Linked DNA regions of Drosophila melanogaster. The protein of the gene in region 2 interacts with the protein of the main gene of each other region in a pairwise test. Each region holds a gene or a part of one and is shown on either strand. Other genes may lie near its edges.

Region 1 (5,985 bases), on a different chromosome or scaffold from region 2:
CCATATCCACACCATCGCATGAACAGTACAAGGGCGATGGAATCGCCGGTCGCGGACCTATGGGCTATGGAATTACTACCATTCGAGTGGATGGCACAGACGTCTTCGCCGTCTATAATGCGATGAAGGCTGCCAGGGAGTATGTCCTCAAGGAGAACAAGCCGGTGGTGTTCGAGGCACTGGCCTATCGAGTGGGTCACCATTCCACCTCAGATGATAGTACAGCCTACCGACCAGCGGAGGAGATCGAGATTTGGAACTCGGTGGAGCACCCAATATCCAAGCTTAAGCGCTACATGGTGCACAAAGGCTGGTTTGACGAGACTGTCGAAAACGAATATGTCAAGGACATAAGGAAAAAGGTTTTGAAGCAGATCGCAGTGTCCGAGAAGAAACTCAAGCCCAACTGGCGTGAGATGTTCGAAGGCGTCTACGCGGAGATGCCGGATCATTTGATTGAGCAGCGTAGCGAGCTGGAAAAACATATCGAGGCCCACAAGGAGCACTATCCCTTGAAGGACTTTGAGAAATAGATTCCAGATAGGTGCCATAAAGATGCTAACAAATCAGAAATCAAAACGAACCGAGAGACTCGATCGAAAGTGCATTTATTATGATTAAGCAATAGGCAAACAGTTTTTTGTGGGTTCAACCCGTTTGTTATGACTCATCTGTACAGGTGGGTCGGTGGATATGTGAAATTAGACACTTTGGGTTTTTGGGTTTTCTCTGACCAACGAAGAGGATAAACTTGGTTGCATCCTAGGTCTTAATTTGCACATACAAAGTGACCCACTCTGGTGCAGGTGTTATGAAAAGGTGTTAAAATTTATTAAATTTGATTTACATACAATATACATATACTGAAACAATACGAATACAAATATATACTTTTGACTTAACGCAACGCATCGCAGACAAAAACGCGGGTGGAGATGAAGCTACCTGTTGCAGGATGACTCGCTGAAGCTTGGCTGGAATGATGCAGGAACGGGAGTTGCCCCTTTCAATTGGTGCGTAGCTGATAGTCGCCGTTCTGCGTGATGTACCGCACCCATGGCAGCGCCTGATAGCCGCTCTTCTCGATGATCTTCAGATAGCGCACCTGGATGCCCGACGTGGTAAAGTAGGGAATCTCGAAGCGCACCTGAATTGGCGGCTTGCCCTCCGTATTGTCCTCGCTTTCCACGCTCGGCAGACCGAAATGTGCCCGCATTAGATACTCCTTGCCACCCGGGAACGATTTGATCGTCCAGATGATTGCGTTCTGCTCCGGTGCGTACTTGCAGCTTCCAATGGTGGTCTTGAACTTGGGTGAGTCCGCGTCGGCGGGCACTGGTATGACGATTTCCACGTTGTTGGCCGTCGATCTTCGCTTGAACTGAGACTTCGCCTTAATCATGTACTCCACACGGGAGTGGGCATGCCGCTCGATCACTGATTCGATCCAAATCAGGGGTTTGACCTGTCAACAGGGGTTTAGTTAGTCTTGCATTTTGGTGCTAAGTACATAAAAATACTCACATGCGTGTTCAGACGATAGGACATCAGTTCGAACTCGCCGTCCGGAGGAATGAACGAGATTGTCCGGTCATTCTCGAAGCGTGACAACCGCACGCACTGGTGGAACTTGACGTCCTCCAGCTCTACGGACTTTGACTTGCCGCGGCCCGTGCTCTCGAACAGAACCTTGTCGTTGAGACCCAGTCGCAGCTCTGGCATTCCCGACAAGTAGACGCGCATCTTAATGGCGCCCACGATCTCGCTGCGCAGCACATTGCCATTGGCGTTTGCGAGAAGATTCACCGACTCGATAACGTCCAGGAACACCTCGTTCTTGCGATACTTAATGCCCTCGGACCGCCAGGATACTGCATTGGTCACGGCCACCGGGATGCGGGGCTGTAGCTCCAGCTTATGACCCTCCTGCGTAATGTATTCCTGTAGAATTTTCGAGTCGGTGGTCTGCGGGTAGCCAAAGTCGAGCAATTCATCCAGCAGCTCGTAGATGATCACGAAATTGTCCCGAATGGACTCCTCCTCCAGCTCCTTGAAGTATTCCACAAAGACCTGCGCGATCTTGTGCAGAAAGACGAAGACCAGAGCGATATTAACGTTCTTATTGCGCGGCGTCGTGGATACGATATAAAGATTGTTCGTTTTGATGTAGGCAAATGTAGTCTCCGCCGTCTGAAGGATCGGAGTGATTAGGCCCTCCTCCTCGCGCTCCATCAGCAATGGCATGAATTTGTCGATCACGGCCATGTCGATGTTGTCACCGCGGTAGTTCCGCGATATCAGCACCTTGCCCTTCACGTCCAGAACGAAAATGGCCGACGAAGACATGTCTCTTGGTTCCCAGCAGCTGCCACTTGTCCCAGGTGTAAAATTCCCAATTGGATCGAGTGGGAGGTCGCTTCGATGGTTCTACTGCTCGCGGCAGGCGTTGCGCGTGGAAGTTGGCAACTGTCGCGAGGTGGCGATGAGTGGGCTAGGTCTATCAATGGGCTGGATTTACATATTCCGTTTCGTAGACTGGAAAATGCGAATGAAAACTCCGGAATTTCTTACGTCGCCTTTTCTGCTGCTTCTTTTTCTTATTAGTTGGCCCACCAGTGCTGTGAAATGTTCACATCAGGTGTTGGGCAGTGTGGCCAGGTGAGATTGGTCTACTGCTGATTAACTAGCGAATTAAGCTTAAAGGAAATGAAAAATGTGCAAGGTGTAACATCTTAAGGTTTCTGTTTTTAAATAAATACCTTTTAAATTATTTTCATTTTCCCATTGGTACCTTTAAATTCAAATCATAAATATATTGGAGAATGTAATCTAGCATCACTATTGTGCCATCCGGCATTTGTGGCCATCCGCAGTACGGCCACACTGCTAGCCCAGACGCTGCTTTTGTGGAATTGTTAATTATTTATTTCGGCGAGCATGCAAATGAACCCGAGCGTCACAATCGAGCGCAAACGCGTCGACTGCAGTGTCCTGCCAAAGGGATGGCAGCGCGACGAGGTCCGAAAGTCCGGCAGCAGCGCCAATAACAACGCCAGCAGCAACAACAACAGCAGTGCCACAGCCAGCAGCAACAACAACAATAACAAGGTGGATGTTTTCTACTACAGGTAAAGAAGAAGAGCAGAATTACTATATAGACTACTATATACCTAAAATCGGAACACTGCACGCTGTTTAATCGGATAAACGTTTATAATCACTTTCACTACCTTTCTGTTATTACATCCGCATAACCACACACACACACACCATATACACCACACACACGCATACGCCTATGTATACACACGCACACGAACTACCACCTAACCCACCAAAAATATCCATCCACCGCCGTGTCTGTTCAGCAGTCCCACAGGAAAAAGGGCGGAGGGAAAGCCACAGGACATTGCAATCCCTGATTTCCAGCCTGGCAAAATGCCGCACTGCGCCCTGCCCTCGCCCTCCATTTCGCTGTACCGCTGCAGCGCCATGCCGCTGCCTATAGCAAGCGGGGGCGGTAATGGGGCCACCAGCGGATCGGCGGCCAATGCCCTCAAGCGCAAGTTCGCCCGGAGTCAAGGAGGCAATGCTGCAGGAGCAGCAGGAGCTGCTCCTCCGGCAGCGACCGCCTCGTCAGCAGCAACAGCGACAGCAGCATCTGCTTCACCATCAACGGCCAATCGCCAGCAGCAACAGATCGAACTCAGGTAGAGCCAAGTGGATGAGCACTTGACTCTTGCATGTCAGCGTGTCATGTCTTGTTTGCCAGGACGCAAGGTCTACAGCCTGCGGCAATTAAAAAGCATCAAATGAAAAAATACCCAAAGAAACACACAATTGGCAAAACAATTCGTAGTTGTCTTCAAAAACGCTGTAGCTCTGTGCCACCTGAGATTTATGTTCCACCATCTCTGCATGCTAAAGCTTTACTTTACGCTTTGTCTAATGTGCTGTTCGGTGTTTTAGCTTTTTGAAGGCGTTTCTCTAATACATTTCCAATCTTTAATCCCTTACAGCCGAGCCCTGCGCACTGATGTCTCCCTGGTGCCTCCCATTCGACAGACTGCCTCGATCTTCAAGCAACCGGTGACGGTGATTCGCAACCATAAACAGGATCCCGCCAAAGCGAAGAATGAACCCAAGCATGGCACTCGGGAGAAGCCGAAACAGCTGTTCTGGGAGAAGCGACTGGAACGACTACGCGCCTGCCACGACAGTGGCGAGGAGCTAGACGACATCTCACTGCCCAAGACCATACGCACCGTTGGCCCCAATGTCAACGAACAGACCGTCCTCCAGTCGGTGGCCACGGCCCTGCATATGCTCAACGCCGGCGTACACGGCCAGAGTTCTACGAAGGCTGATTTGACCAAGAATGCCATGGCGTTTATGAATCCTGAACAACCGCTAATGCACGCGGTGATCATTTCGGAGGACGACATACGCAAACAGGAGGATCGGGTCGGAGTTGCGCGGCGAAAGCTGCAGGATGCACTCAAGACATGAGTTCAATGGTTAACCCCCATGCATCTACCAATTCCATTGTAGGCTCTAACATCTCTATCGTATTGACCCCTATTCGAAATCTACATTTAAGACTAGTGTGTAATAAACCAAATCCAACTCCAATCGAGGAATTCTGGTTTCTTATTGGACATCGAGAAAGCTTCGCTTGTCTTTTCCATGACAACAGGGCTCTGTTATCCAATTTTATTACGCTCAGATGACTTTAAAATGCTATTTTATACAAGACAGTTTAAAAACGAATTCGAACTATAATACATAAACCGAATTTTCATACTTAGTCGATTTGTTTGGCAAATCCTTGGAACGAAGCGTTATCTACGACGAGGGGATCATTACCTGACGAAATTTTCGGTCCAAAGATTTATGGCCAAGTAAATCGATCTCCTTCAGTGTTTAGGTAAACCTTTAAAGCTGGACAGTTTTTGTGCTTCATCCCCACATTGTATTTTAAAATATATATACTATACACATAGATATCGTTGCAGAGATGCGATTAGTCTAGGCCCTCCTCCATCTCGTCATCCTCGTAATCTATGCCATCGTAGTCCGTCGAAGAGCGTGTCGTTAGCTGCAAGGATGAATCAATCGGAATTTGCAATTAACTGAGAATTTTGCACGTGCTCAAGCTGAGGCTGTCTACAAGAGTGTCTGGAGCCAACAGAAGACATTGAACCAGAACTATCGAATAAGCTCCATCAAGTCAAGAGTAAAGAACTACAAATTTCAGCCAAAAATACCCACCTGGTTGTAAATCCCACGCCATGCCGCAAACGCTCCCATGGCCAAGACGGCTCCCACGCCGGCTACTATTTTGGTGTTCAGCTCGGAGTCTAGGAACTTGCGCTCCGAGGCCGTCAGACTGGCCTCCGTGCCACTGGGTGTCTTTGTGAGCTTGACGGAACTGTATCCCTCGATGCGGAATATGTCCTTCGTGATGCGGTTGATAAAGTTCACTAGGTTTTGGCAGCCCTTAATGTGATTCTGCAGTGGATTGTTAGGCAGTGCGATCTTAAAGATGATGGCAAGATAGCTGTAGACAATGGCATCAAACTCGCTGTAGGTGTCGCCAAAGAACCACACCTTGCGACCCAATTTCCGGGAGAGCAGGTTCACCACTTTTTTGGCATTGACAACGAGCTGTAAAGTAAAATGATTAATTGATAGTTAAAGAAACGTCTTGCTTTTCACAACATTGATAAGATATATTGATAACAAAAGACCAATACATGAGAAACTGTTTCTTATTAATATAAACTGATGAAACGTTTCCAATCGAAATGCAGCTTGGGTGTAAAACATAGGTTAGATAAACAAATTAAAAAATCCTCGGATTTAAAGATACAATAATGTAATATGAGACAATATGAAATTGAAAGCACTCACGTAGTCGCCTTCGTGCTTGTCCAACTTGTCGTTCACATCGAAACCGGCCATCACCTGAACCACGTCGCAGGC
Region 2 (5,985 bases):
CCGAAAAGAAGTTGACGACAAGCCACGACATTAATTTGAATGTTTGCTGGCATTCTGTGGCAAATGATCGAGTGTTATACGAGCCGAGGGCTTCCAGTTTCCCCGCTTCGCAAAAACGGGAAAAAGCCAAGCGCACTGGGTGCACGTTCACTGGAGAAGATGAAAACTGAAATCCCGGAGTCCAGCCAGAGCCTAAGCGAAAACGTGACGGGCCTCTTTTGACCCAGGCCCAAGCTGCGGCCCATCGGAAACCAATGAAAATCGCAAAAAAGAACGTTACTCATACGCCACGTGTAACGCAGTGCGAACAGTGGGGCAGAGGGAAGTGTGCGAACTTTGGTGTGTTGGCAGAAACTTTAAAGTGGCTGGCGAAAATCTATACATGGAGTGCCACAGAAACACCGGATAATCGAATTTATAAATTTTTGAAAGCAATTTAACGAACTAAGGGAACTTTTACTGGAAATCCGGATGTTCTTAGAAGTAGCCTCTCGCTTAAATAATATTATTAAGATGGAGTTATAGATGATAGGATCCCATCATTGATTAAAGTGGCACACTTAATCAAGAGGTTTCACTAGAATCCCCGCCTGACCCCACAGTGCGATTTGTGGCGGCAGCTGGAAGGACAACAAAACTCGCACACTAGACAAATAAGAGGAGAACACACACACATGCACACACACTTAAGCAGGAGCGTAGAAAATCTGGCTGTGGATGTTTTTTGTTTGGCCAGCCACACGTCGTGGTTATAAATTATTTTTTGCTCCTGCTCCAGCCTTTGCTGGCTTTGCTTCGTCTTGGAGAGGCGCCCCTGAGTTTGGCTCCTCTGGCCATCTTTCGCATTTGTTTGGCCGTAATTTGATTTGTGTGGCAGGCGGCGTCGCCAGCGCACTTAGCCGTATTGCTACCCATCATCGGAAACCCAGAAAGCACAAGCCAAATACCGCACTCACCGCTTCCTCTGCCGCTCCGCCAGAGCTATATGCACGGGCACGTCCACGTAGAGGTCCTCCAGGTCGTCGAAGTCCTTTAGCATCTTGCGGTACCGCTGCAGCGAAGGACACTTTTGCGGTGGAAGTGGCGTCGCCCTGGCCGCTGGCACACCGGCGTCCTGGATCAGCGGGTTCTGGAGCAGCTCCGTGGAGTCCAGAATGATGCGGTTGCTGGCCATCGGCAAGTGGGAGATCTCCGCGTGCAGCGACGTGCTCAGCAGGAACAGCAGCAGCAGCTCCACTCCTGGCAACATGGTGCTCCTTTGCATTAGTTCACTTTGTATATTTATTTTTCACTTGTTTGGTTCTTTTATTGAAGTTTGGGTTTTGACTAGGTGAAACAACCTCTGAGTGCGTGTTCTGCGGCTAAATTGATTTGCAAATTTTGTTAAATTAATTGCTTTTTGATTGGAACACTCTATAACTATGTTTTCAATGGTCGGCAAATTGGATTAATTTCTTGTTGTCGCATTTTTATTAATTGAACTAGAGGCAAATTTTAATTGGTGGCCAAAATGTACAGAATAGTTGACTTAATATGATTAAATTGAATCGAAAACTTTTCACGCAATTCTGCTTTTTCTGCTTGATAATTTATCAACTCGAGTTCCTGTTTAAAAAAGCAAACATTCCTTATTCTTAGTAAGTTTCGCAGTTTTAAACTTTGCTAATGTTAATCCACTTGCTTTGTAGAACTATACGAATAATACTCCCAACATCTCTACCACTCCTAATTACGTTGAAAAGTTTAAAGTCTGTAGTTTGATTTTCCCTCGCAATTTTCCTTTCAATGAAAGCATCGCAAATGCGCTGAGATACAAAATATTGTGTTTCTGCTCGACTTTTAATTCTCCGTCTCCCCCGAAGGGAAATAAATTGCGTTTCGCTTCTAATCCGTAAGTCCGTAAATCCGAAAATCCCGAGATGCGAGGCCCTCGCCCGGAGTCGCCCCCAACCCCCCAGTCGCATCCACCCCCGCCCGACTCGTCTCCTGATTCTCTGTCCTCCGCTCAATTAAGGCCTGTCAAACCTTTGACACACGTCGCCTGCTGTCCCCCAAAAATCCCCCAAGAATCCCCCAGCAGCCACCCACTTTTCTCCTTCGGCCAGAGAATAAAAATGAATTTCCTTGCGACTTTTTTTTTTTGGGGGACGGGGAGTTTCGCTGTGCGTCGGTTCTGCTCTTTGGAGATTCGGGTCCCAATTAATGGGGCTGCAGCGAGTCGATTCTCGGAACTGTTAGATTTGCTAATTGCGGCTGCCGCTGACCTTTCGCCCGGGGTCCCTCTTTAATTACGCTTCTGCGAATCTGCGTGTGCCGCAACAATTGGCCGGTGGGCGGCTTGGCTGGGGGCGTGGCGGGGCAGGAGCACCACCTGTGGCTGCCGAGTCACGAGCAATTAGCCGATGGCCCACGCACGAGCACTCTTACTTTTGCCTGGCGAGCGAGCACTTTTCATAAATTCGTATTTTGATTTGTGGTCGCACGCATAGTTGCGATTCTTCAGCGGGCACTTGCCGGCGCTTCCCCCGACTCGGCGAACACGCGTTCAAATTTTCCGAATTTTCCGTATTTCCGTATTTCCACTCGGAGCACACGCGACCGTTTCCCGGGTGCGGAAGTTCAGCTCTTGCCACTTGCTGCCACTTGTTTCCGCAGTATCTCGCCGCTCGTCCTCGTCGTCCGCTTGCCTTGACGTGCAAACGCAAAATGCCCGAGAGTCGTGCGCAAAGAAAGCCAAAAAGCCCGAGCGTCGAGAGCAGGAAGCGACTGCGACGCCAGCGCCGACCGAGGCAGCGACTGAGGCGGCGGTGACGCCAGCAGCGGCAGAGGCAGCGGCAGCTCCCAAGGAACGAAGAAGGCCCCAACGAAGTCCCGAAGACGGCCCGAAGTCGCCCCCACGCACACACACACGCTTACAAAGGCCGAAAAACGGCAAGACGGAACGGTACACTTGGGCACCGACTTCTGGATACCCGTTACGCGGTCTTGGCGCCAAAGATGCTGCATACTTACAAGCGCTGTTCACAAAGTAAGGTGTGCGTCATGAATGTTGATTAACTTTAATTTCACACGATTGAAAGTAGGATCTATGCTGCATAATTATGGCTACTTAACTGATTCTTATTAGTTTATTGTTTTCAAAAATTTCACCCGATGTTACGAACTCCACCCCAAACGGGGCATACCCCTTTTACCCAGCGATTAACGGGTATGGGAAAAAGAATACGAATAAGAATAAGCATAAGAAAAACAATACATACACTTTGGCTCTCCCCTAATTAATGCCCTCGCTTTCGGCCTGCCCCATTGATGGCTTGTGTTGTTTTATGTCGCGCCAACATTTTGATTTTCGGATTTCGTTTTCAATGAAAACCAGAACAAGAACAAGAGCCCAGAATCGGCGGAGCAGACTGATGTGCGTTGATTTTTATGTGCCGCACGTGACTTTCGATGGAAAGCCTGAGCGCCACTCGGCCGCGTCTCGGAAGGGGGGGGGGGATCCCCGCCAGCCAGCCGCATGCAAAGTGCCCCGCAAGAAATCGGAGCTGGCCGAAACACGGAAGATAAACATTAGATCCGAGTGGCAGTGGCAGTGGCAGCGGCACGGAGGCGTCGGAGTGCAGTGGAGTGCAGCTTTGGCTGGGGATTGCTTGGGGTTGCTGCTGTGGATGCAACATGCGACGAGGCGATGCTTTGGAAACGCTTTGACAGGCGAGTGTTTGCCGATTCGAGTGCATGTGCAGCTGGGTCCGGGCATTACATGTGTCCCCGAGTGATTAGGGCCACACCGGGGCAGCAGTATCGGTTACCAGCCAAGGCTGCGGCTGAGTGGAGTCCATTTCGGGGATTAAGCCATTAATTGCAGCGGAATCAAAGAAGGGGACACATGTGTTATAAGTTCAAGCCAAACATTTGGATTAAGTACCAACATTTAGAAGTTCACTTGTTTTTAAGCCCACCCAATTTTGAATACTCCGCTCCTCTTGTTTTGTAATTTAAGAGGTAGCGAACCAGAAGCCTCGTAAATGTCAGCTCGAAATTGTTATGAAATTTTCGCTGGCATTATTATGCATTTTGCTGATATAAACAAATTAGTTTTTGCTGTGCTCCGCCCTTTCCCCATCGCCCCTCGCCACTCCCCCGCCGACGCGCCAGCGATTTGGCTGGCTTCACCTGAGTGTGAGTGTGTAAGAGGGGCTTTTCCCGGAATTCTGACGGCTGAAGGCGAGGGAAAAAGGCAAGTAAAACAGCATTTTTGCCCTGTGACAGGAAGGAAATGAGTTGCGTCTGGCCGTAGCGTAGCAACAAATTAACAGCAAATTAGTTAGAAAAGCAGCCGCCTGTTTTAGTGACTTAATCAGTGTGGAGGAGTTGGGGCAGCGACAGAGACTCCGAAGGAAAGGGGGCACAGCATTGCGAGTTGACAACCGCCAACCTTGAAGGCGCCCCTTCTCCAACCACCAACCTCCAGCATCCAGCCTCCATCATCCATCCGCCGTCCACCTGGCTCCAGGTCCAATCTCATGCATAATGCAGGCCGCTGCCCGCCTGTCAGTGCGCCTCTGTCCGGATTCCCTGCCCCTGTCTCCGCCAGCTCCGATCCCCATGCCATCCCCATCTCCACGACGCCCATGGTGGCCCAGAGTCGGCGTTGCATTTTCAACAAATTAATTATTGGCGAAGAGGTGGAACAAGTCACTTAGCTGCTGCGAGCAGAATGGGCCCTTGTTCGAACGGCGATCGAACGTTAATTTGGCAGCAACTTAGGGCCTTTCGGTCGGAAATGTGCCCTTAATTGGGTTTAAATTTCGGGGAGTATATAATATTTGGTTATAGCAATAAATATAGCAATAAAAATCTATAAATCTTGCGTGATAATAATATTCCGACTACTGCAAATGTTTACTCAGTTCTCCACTTTTAATTGAACTGTGTGTACTTTCACGAATTGAAATCCTTTTAGCCTTCTGCTCACTCCCCCTTTTTTTCCCACTATGTTTGGCCAAATATCCTACACACTTTTGATTGATTTTCTTTAAATTGCTGACACGCCAGTAAATGCCGCGTGAATCAAATTGAGTGTATTCGCTGTTGACACAATACTTCAGCTGCTCCGTTTGTGCAACGATAGAGTCAACACGCTGCCCCCGACAATCGATCAGCGATTTGCGACTGCCAAACTGAGGCACTGAAATGCTGACGGACTGCCTCCCGCCTCCTGGCCTCCTGGCCTCCTGGCATCCTCGCTTCCTGGCATTCTGGCATCCAGCACCGATGCCTGAACTTATTGGAACAACATTTTTGCCTCACACTCGCACTTCATCAACGCAAAATGATTGGCATGCCTCCGTCGGCAGAAGCTATAGCCGAGCTGTACTACTATATAGCTGAAACTGAAGCTGGAAGCTGGGAGCTGGGAGCTAAGGGAGCAGGGGACTGGCGACGTTGGCGGCGAAAGCCTCCGACATGTGTAAAGGAATCGTTTAAAATAAATGACAGGCGGACCCCCATCCCCATTCCCGATCCCGATACCCATGTCGAAACCGAAACGAAAACCCTACTCCCGCAAAGAGTTGGGGCGAGTTGGGTCCCCTGGCTGCATAATTACCCCCAGAGCGGAGCACACGGCAGATCACAATAATCAATACGGCCTGGTCGGGCCAGGAGATTCGGGAGCAGGAGCAGGAGCAGGAGCAGCGGACCGGAGCAACTGGAGGGCAGGTGAGGGGACGAGACGGAACGGTGCTGGCAAGCAGCCCTGCCGCCGAACTGAAAGTGGCGTGTGTGGTCCGGCTGCTCGTTTTTTTTACATGTTTTCGGTGGCTCTGGCTTCGTTTGAACTTGGGCGCTGCTCCTGCTGCCTGGGAGCTAGATTATTTGTTTACACGCATCCGCAAATCGAGCCACTAGGGATGCAGAGCACGATGCAAGTGCGTGGGTTTTGTGGGAAAAGCCATAAATCAATCCCGGGTTTCAACATGCTGG

Evidence for each region. Proteins that work in one complex are often made in the same cells at the same time.
Region 1: the proteins of nord (region 2) and AP-1mu interact in a two-hybrid assay, tested with the Drosophila melanogaster proteins (one large-scale study listed by BioGRID).

Annotation. Positions count from the first base shown.
Region 1 is NT_033777.3:9,556,904-9,562,888, forward strand, and holds AP-1mu (adaptor protein complex 1, mu subunit), read right to left. Parts: upstream 2,623-5,985; 5' UTR 2,347-2,622; coding exon 1,525-2,346; intron 1,466-1,524; coding exon 1,007-1,465; 3' UTR 809-1,006; downstream 1-808. Other genes in the region: BckdhA (branched chain keto acid dehydrogenase E1 subunit alpha), read left to right, coding at 1-533; MBD-like (Methyl-CpG binding domain protein-like), read left to right, coding at 2,938-3,128, 3,369-3,710, 4,020-4,509; CG9393 (uncharacterized protein), read right to left, coding at 5,024-5,098, 5,272-5,667, 5,914-5,985.
Region 2 is NT_033778.4:24,239,986-24,245,970, reverse strand, and holds the start of nord (nord), read right to left. Parts: upstream 2,717-5,985; 5' UTR 2,428-2,716; intron 1,362-2,427; 5' UTR 1,265-1,361; coding exon 957-1,264; intron 1-956. UniProt on the Drosophila melanogaster protein: Secretory protein that acts as a feedback regulator of dpp/BMP, wg and hh signaling pathways.